Tribolium castaneum: one gene and its partners. The protein of the gene in region 1 binds, or shares a complex with, the protein of each later gene. Links are inferred from orthologs where the notes say so. Each region holds a gene or a part of one and is shown in the gene's direction. Other genes may lie near its edges.

What was found. Proteins that work in one complex are often made in the same cells at the same time.
Region 2: Mks1 (region 1) and B9 domain-containing protein 2 share a complex: the UniProt entries of both Homo sapiens proteins name them as parts of the tectonic-like complex. The link is inferred for Tribolium castaneum from reciprocal best matches to the Homo sapiens genes MKS1 and B9D2.
Region 3: Mks1 (region 1) and transmembrane protein 17 share a complex: the UniProt entries of both Homo sapiens proteins name them as parts of the tectonic-like complex. The link is inferred for Tribolium castaneum from reciprocal best matches to the Homo sapiens genes MKS1 and TMEM17.

Annotation. Positions count from the first base shown.
Region 1 is NC_087401.1:10,812,548-10,817,869, forward strand, and holds Mks1 (tectonic-like complex member MKS1), read left to right. Parts: upstream 1-1,911; 5' UTR 1,912-1,974; coding exon 1,975-2,051; intron 2,052-2,095; coding exon 2,096-2,473; intron 2,474-2,521; coding exon 2,522-2,747; intron 2,748-2,795; coding exon 2,796-3,329; intron 3,330-3,924; coding exon 3,925-4,161; 3' UTR 4,162-4,204; downstream 4,205-5,322. Other genes in the region: rhomboid-related protein 2, read right to left, coding at 582-1,110, 1,158-1,630, 1,676-1,744. UniProt on the Homo sapiens protein: Component of the tectonic-like complex, a complex localized at the transition zone of primary cilia and acting as a barrier that prevents diffusion of transmembrane proteins between the cilia and plasma membranes.
Region 2 is NC_087394.1:33,824,422-33,829,633, forward strand, and holds the start of B9 domain-containing protein 2, read left to right. Parts: upstream 1-1,943; 5' UTR 1,944-2,182; coding exon 2,183-2,270; intron 2,271-2,418; coding exon 2,419-2,544; intron 2,545-2,597; coding exon 2,598-2,880; intron 2,881-2,926; coding exon 2,927-2,960; 3' UTR 2,961-3,285; intron 3,286-3,336; 3' UTR 3,337-3,567; intron 3,568-3,621; 3' UTR 3,622-3,775; intron 3,776-3,828; 3' UTR 3,829-4,028; intron 4,029-4,076; 3' UTR 4,077-5,212. Other genes in the region: serine/threonine-protein kinase VRK1, read right to left, coding at 144-529, 580-1,050, 1,099-1,393. UniProt on the Homo sapiens protein: Component of the tectonic-like complex, a complex localized at the transition zone of primary cilia and acting as a barrier that prevents diffusion of transmembrane proteins between the cilia and plasma membranes.
Region 3 is NC_087395.1:14,181,187-14,185,059, forward strand, and holds transmembrane protein 17, read left to right. Parts: upstream 1-2,067; 5' UTR 2,068-2,119; coding exon 2,120-2,201; intron 2,202-2,245; coding exon 2,246-2,349; intron 2,350-2,399; coding exon 2,400-2,513; intron 2,514-2,624; coding exon 2,625-2,897; 3' UTR 2,898-2,904; downstream 2,905-3,873. Other genes in the region: ankyrin repeat domain-containing protein 27, read right to left, coding at 410-641, 690-840, 900-1,029, 1,077-1,242, 1,296-1,490, 1,675-1,697; glycolipid transfer protein, read right to left, coding at 2,963-3,145, 3,196-3,346, 3,391-3,509, 3,572-3,627, 3,683-3,836. UniProt on the Homo sapiens protein: Transmembrane component of the tectonic-like complex, a complex localized at the transition zone of primary cilia and acting as a barrier that prevents diffusion of transmembrane proteins between the cilia and plasma membranes.

The DNA of each region.
Region 1 (5,322 bases):
ACCTAACCTCACTTTTCCTACTAGCGATTTTTCGTTAAAATAAGACCACAAACCGTCAAGCAATGGCAAAATTAAGTCCGCATGGTGTATAGTGTTTTGGGGGGCGTTTTTTTATATAATGGAATTGACGGGACAAGGTTTTATGTCCAATTATCCACTCAAGTAATAAGTCTTTTATTGTTGTAAATATTTGGACGTAATAAAGTAGAATATAAAAAATACTAGAGTTTTGTGCTAGGAAGGCACCGCAAATACTATAACTAGGCCTTTTCGTGGATTGTCAAACATAACCTCACTTTTACTTTGCATATTAAATTGCTTACAAAAAAATGTTTGAGGGGGCTGACCTTAATACTAGGGGCTTGAAACACGGTTGCGAGTCCGTCCAGATGAGTTGGGGGCTCGCGCAATGCTCAAATAAAACACTTTCTGATTATGCGCCGACATAACCCCACTTTTACAAAATCAAAAATAATACTAAAATCAACCTCTAGTCATACAATACTGCAAAAACTGGTCACTTTGTACCTAATCTGTGCTTAAAAATAATAATTGTTACACTTTTGTGTCATTTCCTAACCTCAAATCCGTTCCCGACTTTTCAAAAAATACTCAGGCCAGGCAAAATTCCAAATGATTGCGATTGCCATCAGGAGACAATACGTGACGATAGAGAGCCACCAAATGACCCGTTCGACCGTTGTCACTTCTAGGTTTCTTAGGACGTTGAGCCCCACCAAGAGCCCGGCAATAGCCCCCGCAAAGTGGGCCATGTACCCGATATGTTCGTCCATTTCGAGGAAATACCGATTGTAAATGGCGGTCCCAATGTCGGAGGCCATAATGATCAAAAAAATAAATAACTGGACGATGGGGAACGACATTTCCCTCCAATTCATTATAATGGTGGCTATATGTGCCGTGATGAGGGAGTAGACCCCACCGCTGGCCCCCGCAAGTCTCACGGTGGGGTCGGCGATTGAGGTAGCAAGCGACCCGGCGAGGACCCCCGCGAAATAAATGAGGAGCACTCGCCACCACCGGTGCACCATTTCTAGCGGAGTCCCCAGTAGAATTTGCACCAAAAGATTGACAAACAAATGGAAGGCTCTGCAATTAATTGGGTGGCTAACGTCGGTCAATTGTTGATTAATTACCCAACGTGCACAAACATGTAAGTGATGAACCGCCAAGCCTCCTGTCTCTTGTAGGGGTCGTAGATGAAGACGGAACTGATGGGGCCCGAGGCCGATTTGGTCGAATCCGCCTCGATTGCCTCATCCACACAGAAAAAAATGACCTCGATTAGCGAAATAATGATCATGCCCACGGCCGGGGGGTAGCAGGAGTACTGGTCGTCGTAGGCCCCGTCCACCTCGCTGGCGCCCCGTCGGCGGGGCACCACCATCTGGATGTACCTGTTGACATAGTGCCCGAAAACGTACTGGAGGTCCGGGTGGTTTATCATGTCCACGAATTCGGTGAAATCGATTCGGTCGTCGTGGTTCTGATCGGCCATTTGGTGGATTTTCCGCACGACGTGCTCGGGGATGTCGTGGTCATATTCCCGGCTCTCGATCAGGTCATTCAGCTCCCCGATGTTGATAAAACCGTCATGGTCCCGGTCGTACTGAAAGCGCAGTTTGGGTGATTGCTACTAAACTGGGGGGCTCACTTTGTCGAAAATGCTGCGGTAGTAGGCGTTTTTGCGGCTGGCTTGGAGCGGCGTCTCCGAGTTGGCCATGGCCACATAACCTCAATTGGCGCACACACACAATCACTGTTTACGTTACTAACACTCGTGTTACTACATGTTATCACTTATTATTATTATCACTTTTGTTTTGTTAATTATCATTACACGGTTATGTTTTGGTAACTTTGGGCCCAACTGGGGGAATTCCGCGCCTGGCAGGTTTGAAAAATGGCGCGCGGCTAACGTCATTGTTGTGATTCACGTGTAAAACACTTAAAATGAGTCAGGAGGAGACTTTGGTCAAATACACGGCAATTTACAGGTGCTCGGATGACATCACCAACTTGAAAATAAGGTAAGTAAAGACACTACGTACACAATTAAAGTTCAAGGTTCAAGAGTGAAGTTGCGCCAAGTGGGGGATTTAACTGGCGAGGATTCGGACGGTTGGGAGCAGAAAGACTTCGCCTGGCAACAGAAATGCTTCAGCAAGTCAGAAAGGGAGTACTACAAGGACGAAAAAAACTGTATCACAGATCTGGAGAAAAAGTACCATTCGGACGTCGGGGAATCACACACTGAGGCGCATTTTGACCTGTTTTCGTACACCAATGACGACGATTTTGCCCTCAAACAGGAAGTTAATGACAATTTCCGCGAAAATTGCGACGAAAATGGCCAGGGGTACGACTACGGCCAGTCACTTGTGGCAGCAGTGCGAAATCCCATTGGTCATAATTACGAGTTTGAGGTCATGTACATCATGGCGGACCTCGGGTAATTCCCCCGAAACGTCCGAGTGACTATAAAGCGATTTGTTCGTAGCGAATACATCGATTCGACTTGGCTCAAGCAGGAACAAGTCCTGTGTGTCGTTAAATACGACCGGAAGTACAAAATATTATCAATTAACCCCGACTTTACCAAATCCCAGCCGTATTTAATCCGACTTGAAGGCGCCACAATTCGCAAATATCACTATTTCCTTGAGAACGTTTCGGCCCAAATGCCTGAGGAAGCCCACCGTCGCGAAAAAGAATTAATCCGAAAAGTGTGTGTTGTATTATCCCCGAATTTATCTTATTTAAAGAATTTGCAGATAAATGGCCACAAAACCGAGCTTTTGAAATGTTTGAGTTTCAAACTTCCCGCCAAAAACAAACTGGCCGTTCATTTGTTCATGGAACTCGCGTGGGCGCAATATTTCGAGTATGGACCAATCTACGTCCAGTATTTCATCGACTTGCCGTCGGATTGGTCCCCGACTGACCAATCGCAACTGCAGGGCGTGACGCAAACGTGTCACGTGACTGGCGATGAGGGTTTGGCCCATTTCGGGCACGTTTTCGACGTTACGTTAGAGTACAATATCGAGGATTTGGGCAAAAGGGGAATCCCCAAGTGCCCTTATATCTACTTTGAGGTTATTTCGAAGGACACTTGGAGTCGGTATAGGACTGAAGGGCTGACTTATAAGGCCTTGCCCGTTGCCAAGCCGGGGAATTACCGGTTTAACCTACAATGTTTCCGGTTAATCCCCGACCGGATTTCCGGTCAGTTACGCCGGTTTTTTATTGGCGATTGTTCAAGCTATGGTGACTTGACTTGGGTGGGATTACCGAAACATTACGATGTGAGTTGACTAAATGAAAGGTTACTAAGGCTTAAAGCGGGCTTAAGCCGACACCGAGTGTTGCTCATTTAGGTTAGGTTTAACTAAACCTCGGCTTATTGCTAATATTTTTAATAAATTATTATTGTAGATAACATTATAATTTTGTTGAAATTGGTCAATTTTGTTCAATAGTATAAACTAACACTAGAAAGCAAAAAGTTACTTGCTTGCATTGGATGAAAAAAAAAACAGCAAAAAAAGTATAATGATAATAATTCACTTATTCTTATTCCATCAATATATTTTATCAGTATTTTTTTTATTGTAGGACAAATTTTTAAACATGAAATAAATAAATGCCGCATTTTATTGATACATTTTTAAACATAAGATTTTTATTATAACGATATTATTGCTACAATGTACCGAAATATTGATAAATGGTGACATTAATGAATCTTAACCTAACTTTTTAAAATCAGAACTGTCATAAGTGCGCAAGCGTGCAGTACTACCAACCGCAAAGTTAAGTTCAGCGCGGCTTAGCTGAGCAACACTGCAGTTTAAGCTCAGCTTAAAATGGCGAGCTTATCTAAGGAAATTTTTTTTCCAGGGGTCTGTTTTAAATAAATATGGGACTAACACGGTTGGTACCGGTCTGATCAGCGTGACCGTTCACGTCGTCCATCAAAGCCAGGCGTTTCTGGACAAATACAGAGAAAATTCCGAGGAAAATTTGGAAATTTTCGAAAAATTGAACTCGTCAAGTTTGGTCAAAAGCGTGGAGCAAGTGCTCCAAGCGTTCAAAAGGGCCCGAAAAAACATGATTGCGGCCCGGAAATTTTTATAATTGTTGTTTTATTTTGAGAATCAATAAACGTGGCAACGCCGCACTAGGTATAAACCAAAATCGATATATCTGGGCGAGGGACGATCGGACCGGTTCGGGTCACATCGGGCGACTTCGGGCTGTCTTTATCCATGTTTTAGCCCCAAGTTTGGGCTTTGGCCCCATGGTGTGCCTGGAACTGGCTTCCAGTTCACCCCTCTGTCTTTTGGGATGCTCTGGGGGGCTCAAGTGCCGCTCGAGTCTTAGCGAGGTCCCCGTGGCACGGCCGCCCTGTTGCCACGCGTCCCCCGTTCATGAACCTGTCTCAAATTGTAACACAGTCGCCTATTTTGCAAGTCATTGACACGTCGCTCCTTCGGGGGTGCCATCGATAAAATCCATTCCTGTAATTTCTCTCGTCACGTGACTAATAATTTCAATTTTTAAACAATTCGTCTATTTGTGACCGGATCGATAAGGCGGCCATGGCAACTCTTTTTTCTTTTTGGTAGTTTTTGCAATTGTGTTGGTACTTCCCCAAGTCGGGATTGGGGCCAGGCGTACCAACGTGTACATTGTTGTTATTTTGGGCGAAAAACGAGTCAATTTAAGCCGTAATTTTTTCGTCGTCGTGTTGGCATATCCCCTTTAATATAACAGTCTAAAATCGCCCGTCTCTCTCGCACCCACTGCCAGTACGGGTAAAAATGAAACCGGAATACACTAAACCGTATTGTGCGTCCGGTGCGAGTCGCGACCTACCGTGCTTTGTTGTGCTTGGCTTTGCGGCCGATTTTGGCCGATTCCGGGCCCGCTTTTGGCCCAAATTCGCCACGAGTGCTTGTTTTTGGCTGTTTTTGGTGAATCTGGCGTTGGTTTAGTGCGGTTTTGTGCCAAATTGTCGGTTTTTGGCCGTAGTGAGACGGAGGGCGGTGTGTCGGTGATAGTAGCGGCCAGCGTCTAGCTTCATCTCGCTTGTAGTATGCGTCCTCCCCTTTGGAAAAGATCGACTCATCCGGACCTGTTTTCGTTTCAGCTTCGAAGTTTAACCAAGATGTCGGGTTATGGCGGTATCTATATTATAGAATAGTGTTCCGAGTGTTTAAAGCGTAAATTCGGCCCGAAATAACCCACCCTGTGCTGTGTTTCGCGTTATTTCCCCCCCAGTCAAGTGCGTGTGTG
Region 2 (5,212 bases), on another chromosome or scaffold:
AGTGTGTTTTGTTTTCACAAGATTTTTTTTGCGGTTACTTAATAGTAATTAATAAATTTTAATTATAAAAAATTTCACAAAAACACCTCTAGTTTTTTCGTAGGCTACGATTCAAGAACACGTAATTGTAGTTAAACACGTACCTGAAATTCCAGTTTCTGAATATACTTAAAATATTCTTCCAAAAACTTAGGATATTCACTGAAACAGTAATTCATGAAATACTCCACATCAGCCATAGCTCTTTGCTTTTTTTTGGCTACGATTTCCGGGTTGTCTGCATCACCAGCCCATGGCAGAGTCCCAGTCAGCCAATAAATAATATTGTACCCCAAAGACTCCAAATCTGAGCGTCGCGAATGCACCCCCTTGTGAGCATCACGCGAACAAAATAAAACAGTCCCAGCGTGAGCTTTACGTTCGTCAACGCAAAACGGTTTATGTTCGCCATTTGATGTTAGAAATTTGGACGCCAGACCGTAATCAAGGAGATAAATCTGGTCCTGTGTTGTTGTTGGTTTTTCATACACTGAAGTAAAATGATTAGTTTAATGATTAACACACATTACGACCAATTACCACAATTAGTGAAGATTTGATTAAAATTTGGTATGTCGTCGAGATAAAAGGCGACTTTAGCGTTCGGCCTTAAGTTTCTAGTGATTCTGGTTGGTTTTTTGCGACATGCACGGAGACGGCTGGTGAAAGTGTAGCCGCTTGATACTCGTGTGCAGCCGCTTGACACTCGTTTACAGACGGTTGGTTTGGGCTTATTTTGGTTACTTAGAAGAATATTAGATGCCTTGATATCGGAGTGCATGTAGCCTTTACTATGGATGTATTCCAAAACATCAATTATTTGGAGGGATATTGTGAGCACTGTTTTAAGGTTTAGGATTTTCTTCTCTTGGAGGACTTTTTCCAAGTCTCTGTCAAATTTCGGGAGGATTAAGAAACGATACTTTTCACCCTTGTGGACGTGGGAACCTGACGCCACATAGTGGGGCATTCCGAGGGAACTTATATTCTTTGCTCGCTTCCACTCTTCAACTAGAAACGATTCCAATTATGCGATTTTTCCGCAAATTATTGACTTACTCATTTCGCGTTTAGCAATCCTTAGGTAACAATTGACTTCGACAAAAAGCGGCCCGTTTTTATGGCTTTCCACCTTAGCCACGTACTGACAATCAGTCTTGACCTCTTTGGTGAGGACATCAGAGGCCAGGTAGATCTCCCCAAAGCCCCCAACACCCACAGGTTTCCCCAATTTCCACTGCTTCCCTGTGATGTCTTTTAGGTACTCCCCATGTCTTAAATCAAAGGAGTTGCTGCAAGTCTTCTTTTTGGGGGGATCATTCTCCGAAGAACTGTTGTTAGCACGTCTCGGCATTATTTTAACGAAAGTGTGAAGTCTATAAACAATCTACAACATGGAGGCTTGAGATTTTCGCTCGGTTTCACTTGAGATACCTTACCCTGCCTAATTCATGTGATTACCCAAACAGAGGACCCTTCAAGAAGAAACGTTTTTTTTATGTAAATAACAACAAGATTTCAAAATCAAACGACATTTCCCCAATAACCTTATCATTTACATAACGACAACAGCAAGGTCAAGTGGCACGTCCCGGTTGTAAACAATAAGAAACAATACTTACTTTTCATACAACAAGTTAGAAAAGTGGTAAAAACTGTTATTTTGCCAAAAATCAAAAGGTGAAAGAAACGTCACTGACAATTTTCACGGCCATCTTCACGTTTCGCTCAATTGAAACGCCTCCTGATTTGTCGATAGCGCGCACGCGCACTGCAATTTCTCACTGCTTTTGCGCACAAGTCATTAAATAAAAAACGGGTTTTTGCGAAAAGAAAATTAAATTTGGGAAAAAGACTACCAACAGCCTTGTTGGCAACTGATGAATCACTCATTTTGTTGTCTATAACAACAATAATTGCAAAGAATCCAATTTGTTGTATCAAGTCATGGGAGGCTTATTTTTTATTCCTACACAAAACTGACCCCCGCCCTTAAAATATTTGAAAATCGTTGCTAGGCAACCGGAAAACAGTATTGTAAACAAAAATATTGTTTTTATGTTTGGCATTTTCTTCAGGTGGTTCTTTTATTTCAGTTTTGTTTGTTGTGAAAACAGTTATCATTTGATGGTATTCTGGCCTTATGGCAGAAGTGCACATAATTGGGCAAATAACTGAAGCCAAAGATTTTCCAAAGCAGAATTTGTTCTGTAAATGGTATCTCCAAGTAGGTGAGGTTCTCTTGACTTCTTTTCTTGATTTTTGTATCAAACAGACGCTTATTTTGCCTTTTCGATAAGTATTTCTATCGTTTTAAGACTAAAATCGACTGCTCTGTCAGTCAGTTCATGTTTATTTTTATTATTATAAAATTTTAAGGTAATAACTGGAAAGTTATTTCTGGGAAGAAGGAAGGTCAAACTCAAGTAACATCACCTCAGTTTGGTAAAGTTTGCAAGTGGTCTTATCCAATAGATATTCACCTAGCCACTGCTGGACTTCAAGGTTTATAATTTTTCAAAAAAGTCGTTTATTTTTTTAATGAGTCCGAATTTTAGGTTGGCCTAAGATTTATTTGCAAGTTTATCACTTAGATTGGCTAGGCCGGAGTCACATTTTCGGTTACGGTTTCATAACAGTTCCTACAACTCCCGGGACCCATATTTTGGACTGCTACACTTGGAGACCATTTGGTACAATAAAAGATCGTTTTGTGCAGTATTTTCTGGGAGGTGGGTATCAAATAAAAAATCCAGACTTGATCTTCTCTTCGGGGGAACGTTATAAACTCTCTACGGAGGCTATGGGAGTTGTTTCATTTGAACTGTGTGTTGTACTTAGGTAATAATAAGGCACAAAACAGTAATAATGACGAGTCCTTGTTCAGAAATTTCAGCAATTATGGAGTGGAATATGAGTAAACTACTTAACAATTTACCGACTGTTTTAATACTGTGCGTTTTGTTAAAAAGCACAAGTTTAGAAAATGTGACCACAACCCAGTCAAGTGAAACAAATGTTAAAAAGGGCACAACGTCACCAATTGTGTCCACAACCGCTGTTCCAACAACTACTTGCAAAGCCAACAGTTCTTGTTTTGCAAATTCAACTAATAATTCAGTAACTGTTCCTCCAACTCAACAAACAACGGCTTTAGTCACAACCCCGACTCCCGCGAGCTTTTTTCATTTTCATATAAAAACATCGGAACGATCAAGCAAGAATTTGTGTATTTGTGATTTAACTGTAAGTATCTATATGTTCCCTAATAAATTATATTTTTACGCATGATTTTAGATCGACTACTGTGATCTGAATTGCTGTTGCGACAAAGACTGTTCCTTAGAAAATAAACTTGTGTTTGATCATTGTGAAGAAGATTTCCGTCAATATGATACTAGATATTGCCAATACGTAAAACATATTTACGTTAATAAGACACCTCATGAGTTTCAAATTAACCAAAACGGACTATTTTGTATTGTGCGTAGTAATTTACCAGCAAGTTACATAGTCCAAAGAAAGCAAGTAAGATAAAGTCTTAAAAAAATCATAAAAATAATTTTACAACTTTAATTCCAGCCGTTGAAGTCATTACAAGATGCTCAATTCGAGAGACAAAATAAATTTAATTGGCCAAAGCCTACACATGAAGATAGTCAAATATTCAATTATTTCAACTATACTTATGGAAAACCTTTATTGATTTTAAGAAATAACACAATTGAAAACTTACGTTAGTCTCCAAATCTTAAATCAATAATCTAAATAACCATTTTTCAATCGTAGAATTTCTTAAGAGTTTTGTGGTAACTAGTTGCGTGGTCAAAGAAGATATAAAATATTTAATTGACGTCAAGAGCAGCTGTAGTCATACGAACATATCCGCAGATAATTATTATCTAAAAGCCGACACATTTTTCAGAAACATGACAATAATTGCAAATCCTGGTTTGCTAAATGTGTCTAAACACAAAAATTTTCTCAAGGTAGGTACTATACTTTTATGGAAACCAAACAGACTTATTCCTTTCCAGAATTGTACAAAAGATGTTTGTCTAAATGTTCGGCCAAAAATATGCAACGAAGACTTTGAAGACTGCGTCCAAATATCGCCAAACGACACGAGAATAAAATCGAGCTGCAAAGTTAACATTGCAAACAACGAACTGTTTTGTATTAATTTAGTACAAAACGTTAGATACAATTTTTATCATAATGGTAGCAACGGTTTGATAAAAGTCGAACTTTACTTGATTCTGAAAAGTGCCACTTTTTATTACCACCAGGAAATGGAGTTTTCCCAAACGATTGAAGTTAATTTTATTTGGTGGAACCATACTTTGAACTATTCATCGCACCTTAGTGGAAATCCGGGATATTTAGTTGGCAAGCCAATCTTAATCGCAAATATCGTTTCTATAAATGTTCCTATAAATAATACGAACTCGACTAGCAATGCAACAAGTTACAAACAACAATTACAGCTATACCGAAATCCTTCGGATTTTACCGAAAATTTCCTCGTTTTGCCGTTTGTAAATTCAGAGGGTGTGTGCGTTCTAAGTAAACACAAATATACTCCGATTGAGTTCGGTTATAATATGTATCTAAGATGCGAAATTAATGATTATATTTGGATCAAAAATCTCTCGGCGAAAAATGTATGCATTGCCGTACAGAACACAGTATTCAAATACTGGGCCTTAAAAGTAACAAATGGTACATTAAGTAATAGAGTGATTGCACTGTTCGGTAACGCATACATTTACAATATTGGCGATTGGCTGAGACCAATGTTTGAAAACGATCTTAATGACATTCTAAATCGAACTTGGGGCGAATTTGACCTTCAAAATAAATCTCTCAAATGTGGTAACATCACAACATTACTTATAACGGAGATTTTTCATGCTAGAGTTGATTTCGACGACATTATCAATCAGGAAAAGATTTTAGCGACTACCTTTCAATTTGATAATTTTCAAAACTTTACTTTTGCTTTAAACCAAACTTTACGGTTTAATATTAAAGTAGGTGCACAAGTTATGTTTCACGACATCACTACTAAGAAAATGAGGAAACTCGTTGATCCACCCAGTCTGAAAATTCGCTTGCCTCATGATTTCTTTTACCCTTTCGTGAAAATAGATAATCATGGTGTTAGGCAAGC
Region 3 (3,873 bases), on another chromosome or scaffold:
ACTTTTAGCAAAATGTGTGACAGATTCCTTTATATTTACAGATTTCTTTGCAACTGACGCGACCTCTAAGCTGGAGCACACGAACTATTTTAGCCGTTTCCCCCCTTTGCCCCACCCCTCCCAGTGAACACATAATTTGTATACACTTTCAGGGGCCTGCGCAAAACCGAAAAGATTTGGTCGGTCATGCAGAAATCTGCGGTTTCGCGGTGGGAGAATTTAGTTTCAACCGTCGCCACCAAAGCGTCACCGCACAAATTTGAAAATTCAAAATCATTTTCAAAGTTTCGGCTGGAAATTAATGCTAAAAATCTAATAAAAAAGGAGGATATAAAACTAGATATTCTTATGTATCAATTAGTTTATTTTTCTAACATCACAATTAAACAATATCGTTCGTTTTATTTCATTAAAAAAGTTGATCTTCGCCTGTAGACCGTGTTATTAAATTCAAAACTCGTTGATTTGCTTCATCGATTAAAGTTGCCTTTTCTATTTTTTCTTCTCCAGGGCTGGACGTAATTTTCATGTATTCCTCCAAATCTAAACTGTTTTGAAAAAGTCCTTTCATAGGCTTCATAATATCAACATCCAACTGCATTAATCTATCAACAGCAGTTTCAAACGATTTAAATATATCACTAAAATATCAGTCAATTTAGTTCATAAAAAAGACGCCTAACACTTACAAAATTTCTCGATTTTCTTCTATCTTTAAATAAAAAGTTTTAATATAAAATAAATTGCTCAACATGTAGCGTAATTTCGACCTAAGAATTACCACCATAAGCACAGGCATTATGTCCTTGTTGTCAATAATGGGAATTTCAATTTCCTTATCTGTAATTATTAACAATTAAAAAAACCTAGTACATACAATAAATCAAGATGCAACTTACCTGACCTTTCTGAAATTACTGAAACCATCGCTGTCTTTATTTCCGCAAATACTAAATCGTACGTACTGCACAAACAGTTCATTTTCTCGTTGGGACTTTTATATTTGTCTATAACCGACAATTCCACAACCTAAAAAAAACATTACACGCATCAGTTAAAAAAATATTTTCAATTACGGCAGCACATAACGGGATACTATAATTATCATCAGCGCCAAATTCCCTTGCCGAGACGTTAATTTTGCACAAAAATGAGCACCGTTCGAAGAAATTTTCATCTTCTCGGAACAAATTCGCTTTAATGCATGGCACGACCAAATCGTGGATTTTATCAAAAATAATCCTTGAAATCACCAATGAAAGAACAAGTACAACAAATTGCCTATAAATTATTACCACTGGAAGGCCGCAAAGTTCCTGGGATTGTTTTGTTCCGGGAATATTTCTGTGTATAATTTGTAAACCAAGTCAGTTATTTTTGGTACCAGATCTGGATAATCCCCATGGTTGGGTAAATCCCACGAAACTATTTCTTCATCAATGTAGTCAAAAATGTTTTCGTGTGTTGATTTCACAAGCAGTTCTTCAGCTCTAAAATTATTTTAGCAATAAGTTTTCAGTCCAGTGACTCAACAATGACCATGCTATTTTTTATTTGTGATAATATAAAACTTTGTTTAAATTGTAAACTAGTAGCTAATAAATGAAACAATTCAAAAAAGATTAAAGGTAATAAATACGAAAGGTAAGTGGTGCTAAAATTAAAAATACTCACTGTTTTAAGTCTCGTATTTCCATATTTATTATTTCTGGTAGCTTGTATCACATTGTTTTAGGTATGTGTACTCAACAATAATGAACGACCTTCGTTGCTTACGTAATAACATTTTATCTGATAACTTTTCGGATAACCACTTGTTATTGTTTGAAGATTTTCCTCCGATACATATCTGTGATCATTTTTTTGTTAGCTTAAAACTTATGAGAATAACATCAATCGGACAGAAAGAATAAAGTTAAAAAAAATGCAAAAATAAACACCTGCAGTGGTCAATACCAGCAAATGTGGGGGATTTGATTACGGTTTCCAAGCAACTCAACCCCAAGTTAATACAAACAAAACCAGATTATCAATTTCAGGACATAAATGTCCAACAATCTGTTAACAATCAGAACATTAAAAATAATCTTGACCTTGTTGTTTGCTCAAAATATTCATTATGGATTGGAAGGAAACTGTGACGTCAGTGTCTGATAAAGTGTTTCCAGGCCTTTCGCGTAAAATCGATAATGTTGTTTATGGTAAAAACATGCCTGGTTAATTACGATTCCTTAAGGCTTTTTAGGTAACGAAGTTATGTCAAATTTGCCGCTGCAGATGTCGCTCTATTTCAACGTGATTTTCGCGCCATTTTGGATGGCCATTCTTGTGCTTTATTTAAGGAATACAGTAAGACTAACTACGAAAAACTACTAAATGACTCGAAATACCAATTCCAGTATCTCTGCTTTAGCGAACTGTACAAGTTTATTATCATAACGGTCATTTCGACAGTTTTCCTTTTGGAAATGTTAAGACTCTATTTAGGGTACAAGGGAAATCTTGAGGATAAAGTAAGTTAATGATAATAATTGAGTCGGCAGATGCAACCAATATTACACATGTGCACAGTTTGTTGAATATCACGGCCACTTTGCGGACGATTTAAATAAATAAGATTGTAGATTCCTGAACTGGCGGGCTTTTGGATGTTGTCCTTACTGCTCCAGTTTCCTCTACAAGGTCTTCTGTTATTCAATCCTAACTTCAAATTGCATGTTATAGAAATAATAGTGCAAAGTATCATGTTCGTGATGTTATGCATTCAGTTGGTGTCAAGCTATTGTGCTTTGAAATTTACGGCAGCGCAACAAGCAATTTACTTTCGCATTATGAAATTAAGATCAGATGTGACGCTTGCAGATGTACAAGAACGCTACCGAGTGAATAAAAAATGAATCTATACCAAACGTTTTATTTACAACTGGAAGATCAACAAATATAAAATTTCTAAGTACAACAACTAGACCCTATCATTCGTCTCGAGATCATGCTCTTGGTAGAAATCCACCAGCTTCTGAACACATGAGGACATCCTGAGCGTGAACTGTCTCATATCACGCAAAACGTGGTCCTCCTTGTGGTGCTTCTCGAGCGCGAGTTGGTAGAAAAGCTGTTGCCGGTTTGGGGTAAACCGTGACAAAATCTACAACTTGTTGGGATAAGCCACAATTTTTGAAAAAATGACGAAAGTACATTAAACAACTGAGACCCCAACCAGCCGTGGTACCGCTCCAGAGTCTCCTTGTACGCGTTTTTCACAAATATGGACAAATCCTGCGTGTTATTATTATTGTCGGAGTCATCGATCACAGACTGGAAGAAGCGCGAAATGAAATGAAGGGCTCTGAAACGATTTATGCATAAGTCTCCCAAAAAGGGGCTTTTTACCGCCGCAGCCACTGCAAAGCGTCCACAACAAGCAGTTGGCCCACATTTTTTTGTTTAAGTATCATGTCCTCTAGAAACTCGTAATTTTCCCGGTCTTCCTCATACTTGACTGTGATTTTCTGAAACAGAAAGTGCGGTTATGTGAGCTCTTATTACTTGGTAAAAGCACACGCAGACTTACCTTAATGTTCCCATTCATGTCATAGATAACCGGGGTAAACACTTTACCGAACCGTTCTAAAAAAGTGCGAAATCAGGGCCAAAAAAATAATTTTTTAGGTTATGTTCGCACCTACTAAAATGACAACTCCGGCAGAGGCATCCAAAAACTCCCGTGTTTTGATTTTCTGATCCCCGTCTTCGAGCAAATTTGGGAACTGGCCTGGAAGGGTCGAGAAGATCGTCGCGGAGTCTTCGGAAGGTAAGCCGCCGTTTGAAACTGACATTTTCGTTGATTTTGATATTTTATTTTGTTCAACACGG